Notamacropus eugenii: one gene and its partner. The protein of the gene in region 1 binds, or shares a complex with, the protein of each later gene. Links are inferred from orthologs where the notes say so. Each region holds a gene or a part of one and is shown on either strand. Other genes may lie near its edges.

The links. Proteins that work in one complex are often made in the same cells at the same time.
Region 2: RBBP7 (region 1) and BPTF share a complex: the UniProt entries of both Homo sapiens proteins name them as parts of the BPFT-SMARCA1 complex. The link is inferred for Notamacropus eugenii from reciprocal best matches to the Homo sapiens genes RBBP7 and BPTF.

The regions. Positions count from the first base shown.
Region 1 is NC_092876.1:372,854,729-372,863,026, forward strand, and holds the start of RBBP7 (histone-binding protein RBBP7), read left to right. Parts: upstream 1-4,424; 5' UTR 4,425-4,760; coding exon 4,761-4,776; intron 4,777-5,925; coding exon 5,926-6,070; intron 6,071-8,298. UniProt on the Homo sapiens protein: Core histone-binding subunit that may target chromatin remodeling factors, histone acetyltransferases and histone deacetylases to their histone substrates in a manner that is regulated by nucleosomal DNA.
Region 2 is NC_092873.1:328,043,913-328,051,953, forward strand, and holds the start of BPTF (nucleosome-remodeling factor subunit BPTF), read right to left. Parts: upstream 3,339-8,041; 5' UTR 3,199-3,338; coding exon 2,499-3,198; intron 2,384-2,498; exon of another isoform or gene 2,117-2,383; intron 1-2,116. UniProt on the Homo sapiens protein: Regulatory subunit of the ATP-dependent NURF-1 and NURF-5 ISWI chromatin remodeling complexes, which form ordered nucleosome arrays on chromatin and facilitate access to DNA during DNA-templated processes such as DNA replication, transcription, and repair.

The DNA.
Region 1 (8,298 bases):
AAAAACCTATTACAGTGGAAGGAAAGAAGAGAGGTGGGGTAAAACACTGCTTGAATTTTACTCTCATTGGATCTAGCTCAAAGAGGGAGTAGCATACACACTGAGTTGTGTATAGAAATCTATCTTACCCTACAGGGAAGTAGGAGGGGAGTAGGACAAGAAAAGGAGATAGAGCTAATAGAAGGGAGGGCAGATTGAAGGAAGAGGTTGTTAGAAGCAAAACACTGGTGTGGAAGGACAGAATGAAAATGGAGACAGAAAAGTATAAACAAGGAAAAAACAGGATGGAGGGAAATACACAGTTAGTAATCATAACTGTGAATGTGAATAGGATGAAGTCACCCATAAAATGGAAGCAGATAGAGTGGATTAAAACCTAGAATCCTACAATATGTTGTTTACAAAAAACACATTTGAACCAGAGACACACACAGAAAGTAAAAGTAAAAGACTGACTGAAGCAGAATATATTCTGCTTCAGCTAAAGTAAAAAGAAAGCAGGGGTAGCAATCATGATCTCAGACAAAGCAAAAGCAAAAATAGATCTAATCTTGTTAAATGAAGCAATATCAATACTTAACATATATGCACCAAATGGTATAGCATCCAAATTTCTAAAGAAGATGTTAAATGAGTCATGGGAAGAAACAGAAAGCAAAATGATACTAGGGTGAGACTTCAACCTCCCCCTTTCAAAACTAGATAAATCTAACCACAAAATAAGAAGTTAAGGAGATGAATAGAATTTTAGAAAAGTTAGATATGATAGACCTCTGGAGAAAATTGGGGATAGAAAGGAACATGCTTTTTTCTTAGCATTACATGGCACCTATACAAATTTGACCATAGGGCATAATTACCCTGCAAACAAATGCAGAAAGACAGAAATATTAAATTCATCCTTTCCAAATTACGATGTAATAAAAATTACATTTAATAAAGGGCCATAGGAAGATAGGCTAAAAACTAATTGGAAACTAAATAATCTAATCCTAAAGAATGAGTGGGTCAAACAACAAATTAAAGAAACAATCTAATTTCATCAAAGAGAATGACAATGAGACAACACACCGTAGTTTATGAGATGCAACCAAAGCAGTACTTAAGGGAAATTTTATATCTCTAAATGTTTATATCAATAAAGCAGAGAAAGGGCGGATCAATGAACTGGGCATGCAACTAAAAAAAGCTTTAAAAAGAACAAATTTAAAATGCCCAATCAAATATCAAGTTGGAAATCCTGAAAAATCAAGAGATAGGTTAATAAAACTGAAAGAAAACCACTGAACTAATAAATAAAACTGAGCTGTTTTTGTGGGGAGGAAAACCCAATAAAATAGATAAACCACTGGTTAATATGATTTAAAAAAAAGAAATAAGAAAACCAAATTACCAGTATCAAAAATGAAAAGGATAAATTCACCACCAATGAAGAGGAAATTAAAGCAATAATTAAAAGCGATTTTGCCCAATTATATGCCAATAAATCTGATGGACTAAGTGAAATTGATGAATATTTACAAAAACATAAGCTGACTAGATTAACAGAAGAGGAAACAGAATACTTAAATAACCCCATTTAAGAAAAAGAAATTGAACAAGCCAACAATGAGCTCTCCAAGAAAAAAATCCCCAGGGCCAGACGGATACAAGTGAATTCTACCAAACATTTAAAGAACAATTCCAAAACTATAGAAACTATTCGGGGAAATAGGCAAAGAAGGAGTCCTACCAAATTCTTTTTATGGCACAAATATTCTGCTGACACCTAAACCAGGAAGAGCCACAACAGAGAAAGAAAACTATCGACCAATTTCTCTAATGAATGTTGACGTGATTACAGCTATCTATCACCAGGATCATACACTATAACCAGGTGGGATTAATAACAGGGATTCAGGGATGGTTCAATATTAGTTAAACTATCAGTGTATCTTAAGCTTACCTGTCCGTGTACATGTTGTTTCCCTCAATAGAATGTATGCTCTTTAAGGACAGGGACAATGTCATTTTTTTTCCATCCCTAAAATACCAGCACACAACCTGGCACATAGAAGCCTTTTACGAAATATTTATTAAATTGAATTAAGGAGAAGTCAAAGCATTTTGTAAACTTTAAGGCACAGGATTATTACTATTATTATAATACTTCTCTTGCCAGCGAAAGGTCATACACCCTGTACTATGGAAAGAACAATAACCCTAGGTTTTCACAAATAGCAAGTCTGTTTTCACATATTTATAAACTGGAAGAGACCTTAAGAGATCATCTAATTCAACCCCCTCATTGTATAAATAAATACACTCCTTAACTTGCCCACAAGTAGTAAGTTACAGTGCTGAGTAGCTTGAATCCGAGTCCAGTGCTCTCTTTGCTACAGTAAGTTGTCTTTAACTCTCCATAGCTTTTGTCAATTAATACCAAGGCCGTCCTTCCCCACATCAAGTCTAAGGTAGCATGGCATCGTCAAATAATCACTGAGTTGGAAAACAGGAAAATTAGGAAAACTAAACCTCTCACTCTATTTAAACAATTGCCCATATGTCATTTCATTTCCTTGTCTTAGTGACATCACTTGTAAAATAGAGATTAACAATATCTTTCCTATTTCATTTGAAGATCAAATGAGGTTGTACAATGAAAGCACTTTAAAAATATTAAGTGTGATTCAAGCAAGGCATTACTATTATTATTTCCTCTACTCCTTATGTATTTTCACAGTGGGGCCCTTTCTCACAGGAGTATATAGAGCCTACAGTTTTCAACCCCCGGTTAGCCTTCTCAGTATTGAGGTATCCCCGCACCATCATTCCCTTCTCAGGTCTCTCACTTCCCCTGTGTGGAGCCTACAGTGTCCACTTCCTCCATACCCAGATCCAGCCAACCTCCTCCTCTATCAGTCTTTTCTTCAGGGCCAGGAGGGGTTAATGCCTATTTGACCAGGGCCAAAGAATGAAGTGGCCCCATGGGCACTATGCCTTGGTTCTTCTGAGAAAGGCAGTGCTTCCCCTGAAAGAGGGGAGGCAAAGTTAAGCAAAGGATGCCACAGCATGCACAGCCCTGATTTTGTAAGAGGAACACAAAGTCCAGTCCAGAAGGGTGGAATTACAGCTCCAAGGGCCCAGACTGGCATCTAGGCAAACCCTATCATTTTATACATGAAGACTAAAGGAATGGACCCTCCAAGGCTGCACAGAAGCAGTTCCTCTTGTTTCTTCCATTGCACCATTTCGAGGCCTTTTAGGGTCTGTGAACTTAAAAAATAATAACTATTTTGATAGAACTGTAACCCTATGTATTTTATTTTACGTCTTTAAGACATTAATCTGAGAAGAGGTCCAGAGGCTTCACCACACAGCCAATGGGGACCATGACACAAAGTAGTTCCAGAACTTTTGAATCAGACAAAATAACAAAAATTCCATTTGGAGGAATGAACTGTCTAGAAGAGTTCTTCACCTGAGGCCTGTGGACGTAAATAAAAAAGCTGATAAGTGAATTTCAACAGAATTGGTTTTCTTTGCATTTTATACTTAAGTTGATGCCTTTTTTTGCTAAGAACGACTTTTAGAAGGACATTTCTGCCCATTTTATGACCCGGTCTAAGCACCCTGAGCGGGCTCCAGCCGGCACAGAAGCAGGCGGATTTCCCCTCCTCCTCAGCGGCGCCTCCGCTGTCATGGGGTCCCAAATGAACGGGGCCCCCCATTCCGGCGAGGGCGGTCCGACCATCCAGGGAGGGGCAGCTCTTCCGCCAGCCCACAGGCTCCCGGAGACGCATGGGAGGGGGCGCCTCCACTTTAAAGCGCTTTGATCCGCCGGCTCCGAGGACCTCCAAGCTGGAAGGGCGGGCGTTCCAGGGATCTCCAGATGCGACGAACGCGCGCTCCTGGGGAAGCCGGCCGGCGGCGAGCGCACGCAGAGCACCGCCCACCCCCACCTTTTCACCTGCGCGCTGCAGGGGACAACCTCATTGCGCGGGGAGTTCCTTCAAGGGCGCTTGCGAAGGTCAAGGGTCTTTCCTCTAGCAACACAGGACACGATTATGGATTTCGCAAGACTCGAGAACCGCAGCTTCCTGGCGGCCGCTCCCCAACACGCAGTCATTTCCCCGGTTAGTGCAATACTACTAGGACTTCCACGCCACGTGCAAAATCTCCTCTATAACTAGGGGAGGGGAAAAGGAAGGCAGGACTGGCCAGGTGCGCGCCAGCTCCCGCCCGCGGATCCCGAGTATTCCCCGCCTCTCTCTCCCAGTCTCTCAGTTTCTCTCTCCTTCCCCCCGCCCCCGCAGCAGTACACCCTACAGTGCGCACGCGCGCCTAGGCGCCGCCTGTCATTGGTTGCGGCGGAGGCGCCGTTTGCTCTCTGACCCTCCTTGGCCGCCTTCTCCTCTCCTGTCCCGCCCTCTAGGGACTCGTAGTGCGCATGCGCCTTTGCGACCGGAGCGGGCTGGTAGGCGCGGGTTGAAAGTCTCGTTCCAAGTTTGGAAAGAGAGAGGGAAGAGGTCGGGGTCCGAGCAGCCACGGCTGCGGGGGAAGCAGCGCTGCACGGCCTGACTCCGGAGGACGGGGGGAAGGGGGGGAGGGGGTTAGAAAGCAAGTGGCGGAGGCGTCCGGGGCTCCGGGTTGTGGGCGCTGGGTGACGCGGCGGAGACTGTCTGCGCCCCGGCGGGCTAGCGTCGCGCGGCCAGAGCGGGGGAGATCGAGACGGCGCCCGAGGGGCCTGGCGGCCGGCGGGGCGCACTGCCCGACACAAGATGGCGAATAAAGAGAGTAAGAGGGGAACGGGGGGTTACGGGGAAGAGGTTGCTCCTGGAGGGGTTCGCGCTCCGTGCGTGCGCGGGTCGTGGAAGGAAGCCAGGGCGGGGGGGGGCGCCCGGGGTGTCAGCCCCAGAAAGGCGCGAACAAGGCTCTGGGCGGCGGGGACAGCTTGGGGGAGGCGAGGGCGGGGACGCGGCCCGGAGGTCCCTGGGCACTTCCGGGGGGCTGGGAAACAGGCGAGACAAGTGCTTTTTCTTTCTCCGTGCCCTTGGTCCTGCGGCAGTTTCAGCACCATCCTTGAGACCAGGGTGCCCGGGCTCCCGGCTACCCCAGGTTTCGGGTGCGGCCGCGAGGCCCAACCAAACTGCCCTAGTTTTCGTTTTGTTCTTCGCAGGTTGGCAAAGGGGGAGAGGCATAGCTTTAAAAATTAAATTTGATTTTTAAAAATGATGAATACGGTTTTTTCCCCTCTCTCCCGCTACTTTCCATTGGAAAAAAAACGATTGTAACAAATACGTATGGTCAAAGGGCACGTCTGTTGAGTTGGTGTAGTGCGTGGAGGGCTGGAGATGTCATTTCTATTTTGGAGGAGCCATCCACCGAAATCTGGATTCCTATTTTCCTGTCAGATTGCCGCCTTCCCCTCCACAGACTCTGCTGTGTAATTGAAAGGGCATCTTGCAGTACTAGGTTCTGGAGACTCATGGTGGAATGGCAGATGTCAGCTGTGCCTAAACTTGAATTCCCAAGAAATAATTACTTACATAATGGCCAAACTGTATTTGCAAAATATTGGCTTGTTTTTTGCAGTAAATAAATGACTAGATATTAAGGCTGCCAGGAAAGTCTTTGTGGTTATACTCTTTAATAGTTGTGCAGAACCGGAAGGGCCAAAATATGACAGATGTGGTAGGTTTTAAAAAGTTCAAAACATTTGTCTAATAGAATCATATTAGCCCTGACTAAAGATATCCTTCACTACGTATTTGTTAAGTATCTCCCTTACATTGTGCTGAGTGCCAGGGATAACAGTGGCAGCAAACAAGGTTTCTGCCCTCAAGGAGCTCATATTCTAACCATATATGCCTATTCTCAAAACTTGAGCTTCTTTGAAGTTCCTAGACTAGTTAAGCATATTAATTAGTGTTCTCTTACTTTCAGTGTTTGAAGATACGGTGGAGGAGCGGGTTATCAATGAAGAATATAAAATCTGGAAAAAGAATACCCCATTTTTATATGACTTGGTTATGACACATGCCCTCGAATGGCCCAGCCTTACTGTTCAGTGGCTTCCTGATGTAACTAGGTAACTAAAATTTAAACAATTCAGTAATATTACTTTTACAAACAGTAAAATTACTTTCACAGAACAGATATTGGGATGAGGGGAAGGGGGAGACTTGGGGGATTGTAAATTTCTACTTCCAAATATTTGCATATATTTTGTTTTTAAAATAGGGGTTAAGACGTTTAACCATAATTTTAGAATCAATTAGAATTATTGCTGGAATGTATGGTTTCTTTGTATCATAAAGGACAAACTCTAAGGTTGGATATAGCTAAAGTAAGTCAAATGTGAGGTATTGGGTATTATTTCAAGATGAATATAATTTTATGAACGAAATAGAGACTGTAAATAAGGATGCCTTTGCAGGAAATATTGCTTAAGCAATATCTCAAAACTACAGGTGAGTACTTTTTGCTATAGGGAGAAAAGGACAAAGGTTTGGGGTAGAAGTAAGGAAGAGAGGTTGCTACAGAGTAACTTTTGGAAATAATTTAGTGCTGAGTATTTTAAAATATAATTTTTAGTTTCCTCTTAAGTGTATATGATTTTTTTCAGCAAATTGTAGTGTAAACTGAAATAATGTAAGAAAAAAATTATGTTTTAGGTATGCAGCCAAAATAATTAAAATTAGACTAAGGGGACTAATGTATTATTTAATCCGATTAATTTTTACTTTGTTTAATTTTTTTGTTGATTAAGATGTGAACATAATATAAAGCTCATTTTCTTTATAGGTTGTGGTGCTTTCTTATACCCTACCCACACATGTTGGCTTTAGAAAATGTGGAATACTCTTGTGCTTGTATGTGTTGTACAAATACATGAGCAAAGTTAAGTTGATTCAGAGGAAAGAACTAAGTAACATGGTATTTTAACATTGGATTATAATGAGTAGATTATTGATTTCAGATTCTGGGTTGGTTCATTCTACATATGAAAATTCGGATCTTCTTAATTGTCTTTCAGTTAAATGCTAGTAGTTTATGACATTCTTTATCAAATAACCTGCTATTTCCCCTCTTGAGTTTGTTTTCCTCATTTCTTGTTTAAGAATTGTGGAAGAAATAGCATGAAAGTGCCCCTGGTTTCTTCGTTTTCCATATTTAAATAGTGAACACCTACAGGGAGTTTAGGCAGTATGTTTGGATGAAAGACATCTAAATGTAGTCAAACCTCACATATCCATTCCCTAAGAAAATAACGTGAGTAATAATAGACAACATTTATATAACATATACTATGTGCCAGGTACTGTGCGCAACAGTTTACAATTATACAAATTTATAATTTTATTTATAATTGTATAATTTACAATTATACAAATTTAACTATATATTCTCTCATTAGATCCTCACTACAACTCTGAAAGGTAAGTGCTATTATTATCCCCATTTTAAATTTGAGGAAACTGAGGCAAACATATGTTAAATGATTTTTCCCAGGGTCACAAAGCTATTAAGTGAGGCCAGATTTGGATTCAGGTCTTCCTGACTCTAGGCCCAGAGCTCTATCCTCTTCACCACCTAGTAGATAAATGAGTTGCTATATTAGCATTTTGGAACCTACTAGAAAATTGTTTTGCTAGTGCTGTTCCTTGTTTTCCCCTACAGACAAATTGACAAGCCAGCAAAAATCTGCTTGCTGGTAGCAAAGAGAATGTTGAGGTTATTGCTGATCAGGTCTCTCTATACTTTTCAGATAATAAAGGAAATGACTGGATGGATTGGGAGATAACATTATGGGAACTATTTATTTCCCACTGCCGCCCCCCCCCCCCCCATTCTTCCCATATTGCTGCATAATACTAGAGATTAATAATATCACACCTTTTTTCCTAGCCCAAAGGCCTCTAGTTAATTTGTAAGTAATGTTAGAAACCGTAGCTTTCTAAAAATACCCCCACTAGTTTCTAGGCATGGTTAAATAAATAACTGAGAAATGTTCTTTTTCAGTTTTGCAAGGTTCAGTTCCTAGTATATATGGGTGTATAAGTATAAAAATAATTAGCATTAATATATAAAACCTTAATTTTTTCCTACAGACTCTTGTTGCTATTGAATACCTCCATAAACTTCGAAGATTATTACTGAGAATCCAAAATAGTTTGCTGTTACTTTCAACCCATTTTAGAACAGTTCTTTACTCCCACTCTGGCTTAATTGTTAGGAAATGTCTTAAAACAGAATCTGTTATTTTGTCTTATCAATATCCTCTTCAGGGAAAGTGTTTAACAGAAAGTCTGCTTC
Region 2 (8,041 bases), on another chromosome or scaffold:
AAGAATGCAAAAACCTAAATGCCTTCTTCTCAGGACATAAAAGCAGTAAAATATGTAAAACCAGCCATTCAGCACAAAATTGACATGCAATTACTCCTCCTTTGTAAGTGAAATCATTTTAAAAGCTCAAAACACAAAATACATCATTTTAAAACATTACTTAGAAATAATCTTCCTGAAATTCCAAGCCTTAAAAACCAGATACCATGTCCCAAAAAGTAAGAAAAAAACCTTTAGGAAGTAATATAGCAATTGTGCTATTTCAAACCATCTACTCCTCAAACTTTATATTAAAAACTAAAATATTAGTATTTGTAAACAAGTTTTCAAATTCAAAACATATACCTTACAGAGTTATGGTACCCACTGTAAAATGATAAAAACTTTTCTATTAAACAGACTGAACTACCAGTCTGTACCAAGTACAGACTTTTTAACTACTACCATATGAAAAGGCACATAATAAACCCACCAGTTTAAGACAAAGTTAAAGTGGATGATGACATTTTAAATTAATTAAAGGGAGTAGATATAACTCCTCTTTACTTAGCCTTCAAAAACAGGAGTTCAAGCAAGCTAAAACTGCCTTGCCAAAATGTCTCAACTCTAACTTTAAAAAACTTTCTCCAAAGGAGTGTTATTCAGTCTGCAAGGAGGACTGGAACCTTTCAGTCTGGCTCATTCAGTTGTGTGATCCTTAACAGAAAAAGACTCAAGAGAGAAGAGGAAGAGAAGAAGGGAGAGGGAAGGGGGGGGAGGAGAGAGAAAAAGAGGGGGGAAGGAAGAAGAGGGAGAGGGAGAAGGGGGAGAGGGGGGGAAAGGAGAAAGAGAGAGAGAAAGGGGAGAAAGGGGGGAGAAGGAGAGAAAGTACAAGAGCTGTGATTTCTTAAGGTGAATGCTCTTAGTGGCATACCAACTGACAAAATTGAAATTTGCACACATCACTAATATCTTCAAGAGATAAATGCTTAATGTTACTTTTTCATTTCAGTAAAAGAACAAAAAGAAAAAAATGAACATTTTCTTGCTTTCAGACACGAAATGGCATCTTTAACCCAATCAATGAGTTTCTTTAGAGGCAAAAGAATAGAAATGGATTAGTTAGATGAATTCAATACAAGTTGAAAAATAAAAATTTAAGTATTTCATACTACTTGAACATTTTATCTATAAATACTGATAAAAAATAAAAGGCATCATATTCTTGTAAATTAGAAATATGTTCTTATGAAAATTCACTTGGGGGGTGGAAAGGAGTCTTTAAAAAAGATGCTAATTGATCCCAATCGCCAAAATTACTGAAGAAAAACAGGACAGGCTGCCATTAAAAGCCTTAAATACATTTTTCCACAACTGAGTAAACTGCATCTATCTTGTTTAGCACAAAGCTTCAATCGTGATTTTTAACCAAATGCATTTCAGTACCGGTCTGAAGAAACTTCCTTGAGAAAACAGGAGAGTATGAGTTACCATGGAGGAGCCTCTTACCCACCAAGGCTGAACTTTCAAACTCAATCATCTAAGGTGAAAAAAATCTACACTGTAATAAATCCTCCAGTTCTTTTTTGAAATTGATCCAAAAGTTGATCTTCAAAATTTACTTTCAACGATCAACTCCATCTTCTGCAACAGGTGACATGAAACTCTACTCCCCAAGGAACATGGGGGTGCTTCTAAGAAGGAAACTGCTTACATGAGACTGAGGGAGACAAATATTGTCATCTGGGATTTTACAAAACTGAATTTTAACCAAATGTACTCTTTTAGTCGGATTTTTTTTTAAAGCAGCCACCTAAGGGCAACTGTTGCATGTGCCCGTGAACACACAAAGAATGAAAACAAACACACGTATGGCTAATTAAGGTTTCCCCCAACAACACAAGTGGTGGAGCTAATTCCTTGAGACAATTGCAAAACCACACAAAGCAAGAAATGTGAAAAGAAAAGAAGCACGAGTAGAAGCAACATTATGTACATGTTTACACCCTAAACAACTCCCTCCGTAGGATCCCTGCTAAGAGAGGAGACTCAGCCACTAAAGAGAATTCACATTAAGCCATGCAAAGTGGCTCGCTACACAAGAGGATTCTTCACCTTAAAAAAAAAAAAGGAAGGCGATGGCTACGTGCATGGCCGTCTCAATCCTGCCTGGAGGAAAGGCTGCACTAGCTCCAGTTTTGGGGGTGGGGGGAAAGTGGGGGAGAGGGAGAGAGAGAGTGTGGCCTGCCAACTGCAACAATGCAATCTCCATTTTGAACAATGCACCTCTTTCCTCTGGTAAATCTAGTTTTTTGCCACTTGATGTGCGATTGCATTTCCCCTCTCTTTGGGGGTGAGATGGGGGGTGCCGCTACAGCAGGATGCACCGTGCAGGACGGACACGGTGAGTGTGTGTGTGTGTGTGTGTCTTCGGGGTGGAGGGGTGAGGGGTGGATGGAGCAGGGGGAGAAGGTGGAGGGTGGAAGGCTAGCCCCGAGGCGGCCGGGCTGGGTGGGTACCTGGGGTGCTGCTGTAGGTGCTGTGGCTCCTGAAGCTGCTCTCGGTGCAATAGCTGGCATCGTCGTCGTCTTCCATTTCCTCGGGATAATCGGAGTCGTCGTCGTCGTCGTCCTCCTCCATAATATCTTCCTCCTCCTCGTCCTCCTCGGAGTCCTGCGTCTCCTCGGGGTCCCCCTCCTCCTCCTCCTCTTCCTCGGAGACCATGTCCTCGTCCTCGTCCTCCTCCTCGCTCTCGTGGTCATCGTACACCACTTTGCTGATGCTCCTCCTGGACGGGGTGGCCCGGGCCAGGTGGCCTCCGCTGCCGCCGCCGCCGCCGCCGCCGCCGCCCCCGCCTCCAGCTCTGCCTCCCCCGCCTCCTCTCCCCCCCCGGCCCGGGGCGCCGGCGCTGGGGCTGCTGCTGGGGGGGGCGGCCGGCGGCGGCGGCGGCGGCGGCGGCGGCGGTGGCGGAGGCTTCCTCCGGCTACCGCCGCCCCCCCTGGGGGAGCTCAGCCGCGCCTTGGGCGCCACCTCTGCCTGGGCGGCGGCCCACCTGCCCCGGCTGCTGCCTCGGTGCCGGGAGCGGAGCCCCCCGATGGGCCCGGCCGGAGGCGGCGGTGGCGGCGGCGGCGGCGGCGGCGGCGGCGGGGGAGCCGGGGCGCCGCGCTCCGCAGCGCCTGCCGCGGGCTGCTTGGGCGGCCTGCCCCGCCTGCCCCTCATGTCGGAGCCGAGGAGGGAGGGAGGGAGAAGGGAAAGCCGAGGGGGGGAGGGGGACCGGCCGAGAGGCGGCGGTGGGGAGCCGCTGGGGGCGGGGTGGGGAGCCCCGCGGGGTCGGGGCGGGGGGGGCCCGGCCGGCGGAAGCGGGTGGAGGGAGAAGGCTCAATCCGAATTGCCGGCGCCCCGCTCCCGATCGCCTCCAGCCGCCATCTTGTTTCTTCCCTCTCGCTCGGTGACTGGGGGAACCGACAGCGGCAGCAGGCCTGGAGCGCGGTCACGTGAACGCCCCCGCCGACGAGGCCGAGGCCGACGCAACGCAGCCTCCTCTAGGGGGAGCGCGGGAGCCTGCAGCCCGGCCCGGCCAGCTGGCGGGGGCGCGCAGAGGGGGGAGCCCGGGAAGCTTGGGGCCCGGGGCGCTGGGGGCCCTGAAGGACCGGAACGGGGGGCGGCGAGGGGTGAACTAGGTATTTTAAATGAGCCCTACCCCTCTTGGTGACGAAGACCCAGCCAGGGAGAGACTATCGGGACTATTACAGTCCTTACCTCTCCACCCATTCCTCCCCCCCCCCCAGTAGCTGAAAAACCCGAGAAAAGGGAAAACCCCCAAATTAAAGTGGTGGAGAGACCCCTCCCAACAAAACTGGAGCCAAACTAGATTTGCAGGCGCGATGCTGAGCAGTGCTGCATGGGGACCGGGGGAGGAAGTAGGAAGGGGGGGAGGAGCAAGCATTTCAGCCGGAGCGAGACACTGAGGCCGGGCACTGGGCAGCACCAGAGACAGAGACCCTGGGAGGGAGTGCCTGCGGGCGGCAGAGAGGACTCGCGAGCACTCGGGGAGCGCTGGGTCCTGGAAAATCCTGCCTCCGAACCCTAACCACGACACCTCTGAGGGTTCAGGAACCCCGCCCCTGCTCTTCCAGAGTAGCATTAAAGGCGACTCCAGAAGTGAGGACTGTACTGGAGAGGCACCAGCCCCGCCGCCCCGGCTCTGGGGTTTGACAGCTTCGGTCCGAAAGTGCCTCCCCACGCAGCCGGCACGCGCGGTGGCAATAACCCGCATTGATCCTCTTCCACTTCCCCATGCACCTAGACACGCAGAAGTGAAGTGCTCCTAAACTTCAGACAAACTTCCCAGTGCCACCCTTGCCCGGCTGTTTACTCCCAACGTTTGAGGCTTTCATTTTTAAAGACGACCACCTGTTAATTTCATTTTTAATTGGGTATATTTAGGATTTAATGTAGCATTGTATCTTAATTACAATACAATGGTGTTCTATGCCACTACAAGTCATTGGTAGGCCGCTGAGGTTCATAAGGAGGACTGGACCCTTTCTAAAGTAGTGGGACAAATCTTCCTCTATGTACACCTCGCACCCTCGTGGATCTGTGGCAAGGATATGCAAGCTACCCACATACACATACCTACACTATTCTGTGAGTTGGGCCAGTGAACGATACTGAGGAAACACCCTAACCTCTATGAACAGTAGAGCAAAGGATGATTGGGAGGAGGGAAAAGATCGAACTTCCCTATAGGTTTCTCCCAGAGTCCTGGCCTCCGTACACTTCTGACTACCTTTTAAATTGCAAGTGCCCCTGGTGGCATTCCGATGTTCAATTTTCTAAGCTAACATCTGAATTATCTGCTAAGGATTAGCTAACATTCAGCTGAGGAAGCAACAATGGGATACAGGAAAGGTACACAGAAGCAAAAAGGCGCTGATTTTTAAAGCTCAAACTTTACCGCTTTCACAATTAATGTTGTTTAACCCTTAAGGCCCTGATCATGCCACTCAAAACTTACCTGCATGTCACCTTCGACATGCTGGAACCACCATCATTACTACTGATAATAAATCAACTGACTCACACTTGCCATGTTGCTGTCACTGTGCTAGGTGCTGGGGATTGTTTCAAAAATGGAAATAATCCCTACTTTCAAGGAGCTTGTATATTAATGGAGGAGATCGTATATGTTATACCTCCTCTGGGCCCTCAAGTCTGCGGCTGGGATCACCAAAGTGGTGACTGTTACCTCTGGCTTTTGGGGTTTTTTATTTGTATAACCCAACGAGTGGCTACTCCTACTATTGTTGCTCATGAAGCCTGACCAGTGTGTTTTCTCTTATCAGCCGCAGCAAAAACAGTTGATACAAAATATTCTTTCAGAAAAAAAACCTGGAACACTTTCTCCAACAAATACACAGTCTCAAGTGATAGGCACATATTTAAAGAATACTAATGAGGTATTCAAATAGGGAATTCTCACAGCTAAGGCAACTTATAACTGTGGAACTGCAGGGACTTAATGTCATTTCTCTATCAAGTCCTCACAAAGCTCATTGTGGGTGAGATATTCATGAAGGCTGGGATTCTCTGATGCTAGTATAAACTGGCTTCCCTCAGAGCGTATCATCTCTGATGGATGAGTGACTGATTTGGTCTTGCTTGTCACAGAGAAAATTGTCTAAAAAACTAAAAATGAAAGTCTATGGGTTTTGAAGAGTAAACTAACCCCTCCTGTAGCTGCTAATGAGTATGTGGAAAAATTGTTTGGTTAAAAATCTGAATGGACCTGTAACTCCCCCAAATCCAGATTATGAGCTTCTCACCAGTCCCTGATATCACTCCTTGATAGGCAGCTGTGTCTTCACCATGTCCAGCCTTATACTTGTCTGGAATGTACACTATACTCTTTCAGAAAAGACAGAGGCCTTTACCCTTAGATTAGCAGAAACTCCAATTCTGTTCCTTCAGGACATTGGCTCTGAGGTTTTCACCTCTCAGGCAGAAGGTAGAAGAGTTATGGCCAGCGGTAAGTGATAGCCAGCTCATACTAAGCTGATTATCACATTTTCAATAGGAGCATTTATACCTCAAAAATCAGCACATGATTTTTTGATTATCTAAACTTGAGAAAGTGATAGGAATAAAACCATTATTAATGGAGATTAAACTTATGTATGGAGCATCCACCCTCACCCACCCCACGCCCCTTGCCAAGAGCTAGTTGTTAAACATTTTTACCAGTACAATGCTGGGTATAGCTTTTCCTTTTAGCCACTTTTCCCAGTTCAGGGCTGGGATCTTTCACTGAGGGACCTCATCCTAATTTACAGTGACCAATCAGTTGTTTGTTCAATCATGTTTGACTCTGCATGACCCCATGTCCACAGAAATTCCTTAGCAAAGATACTGGAGTGGTTTTTCATTTCCTTCTCTGGTATGTCCCCATTTTACAGATGAGGAACTGAAGCAAATAGGGTTAAGCGACTTGCCTAGAACCACATAACTAGTAAGTGTGTGAGGTCACATTTGAACTTAGAAAGATGAGTCTTCCTATCTCCACATCCAGCACTCCATCCACTTCACCACTCAACTACCCTGGCCAACTAGTATTTTTCCCAAAATTCCATTTCTGCAGGTTAGGTCATTATCAGCCTATAACCACGTAGCAAATAATCACCAAAAGGTCTGAGGTTTGGGGTGTCCCAGTTTGGGGGGGGGGTTGTTTTATTTTGTTTTTATCTCTAGTTTCCTCCTATTAGTCCTTGGAATGAATGGCTGAGGAAAAGGTACTGAGTTAGATAATTTCTGCCCTGGCAGCAAGTTCATTTTGTTTGCTGGTTGTTCAGATGCTTCCTAACTTTTTCATATACAAAGGAGAAGTTCAAAGGCCTTTAAGACACATTTTCAGTTGTATGAGACTCTTTGTGACCCCGTTTGGGGTTTTCTTGGCAAAGATTTCCTTCTCCAGCTCATTTTACAGATGAAGAAACTGAGATAAACAGGGTTAAATGACTTCCCTGTGTGGCAGGGTCACAGAACTAGTGTCTAAGCACTGATTTGAACTCAGGAAGATGAGTCTTCCTGAATCCAGGCCCATCTCTCAATCCACTAAACCACCTACCTGCCCATTGAGACAGGTCGGATGATTCTATCATATTTGAAAGACCCTTATTCAGATCTCATGTCAATCAATCAGTATTTATTAAGTGCCTACTTTATTAAGTGCCTGGGGAATCTAAGAAGGGGCAAAAGACAGTCCCTGTCTGTTATACATGTGTGGTTTTTTCTTTGCAGAAATATTTCAAATGCTTCTTTTATTGAATATCTATGTTTTTTCATTGATATTAGGCTTAGATTTTTAGGGTACATCCTTTTGGGTTGCATATTGAGCTCCTTTGCCTTTTCTTCCATTCTCTTCTATGATTTTTGGTGGGTGAAAATATTCTTATGTTATTCTAATCTCCTTTCCTTTACATCTTAAGGTTTTTATTCTGATTACTTCTTTGTCACCAAAATTGCTAAATTTAACCACTGTGTGTTTTGGAGTGTGAAACATAAGTTATTTTGTTTTCATGGAGTTCATCTATGAATTCTTTCAATTAGCTCTTTGTTATTCATATTCAAAAGTTCTAGGAAATTTTCTTATATTATTCTTAGCATTATGGTGTTCAGGCTTTTTGATTTGTCATGTTATTTGTTGGCTTATGATCCTTACGTTGTCTCTGGATCCTGTCTTTGAGAATAATATGTTTTGCTCATATAGATAGCTTGCATTATTTTAACATTTTTGCTTTTTTCTTCTTCCAGATAATCCTTCACTTCAATATATTTATATTCCTAATCTATTGTCTTTTTCACTTCTTTGGACAGACTCACTCCCATGAACTCAAGTTTTTCTCTTCTGCTAATTATTTCTGCTGTGTAAGCCATACATTTTGCCATTTGTTCCTGCCTAACTTCTCTCAAGATTCTGATTTCTCTCTTGCCATTAAGGAACCAACATCCATGCTCCTGGTAATCCACAGAATTTTGTGTTTAATCAGGCGTTGTTTTAGTT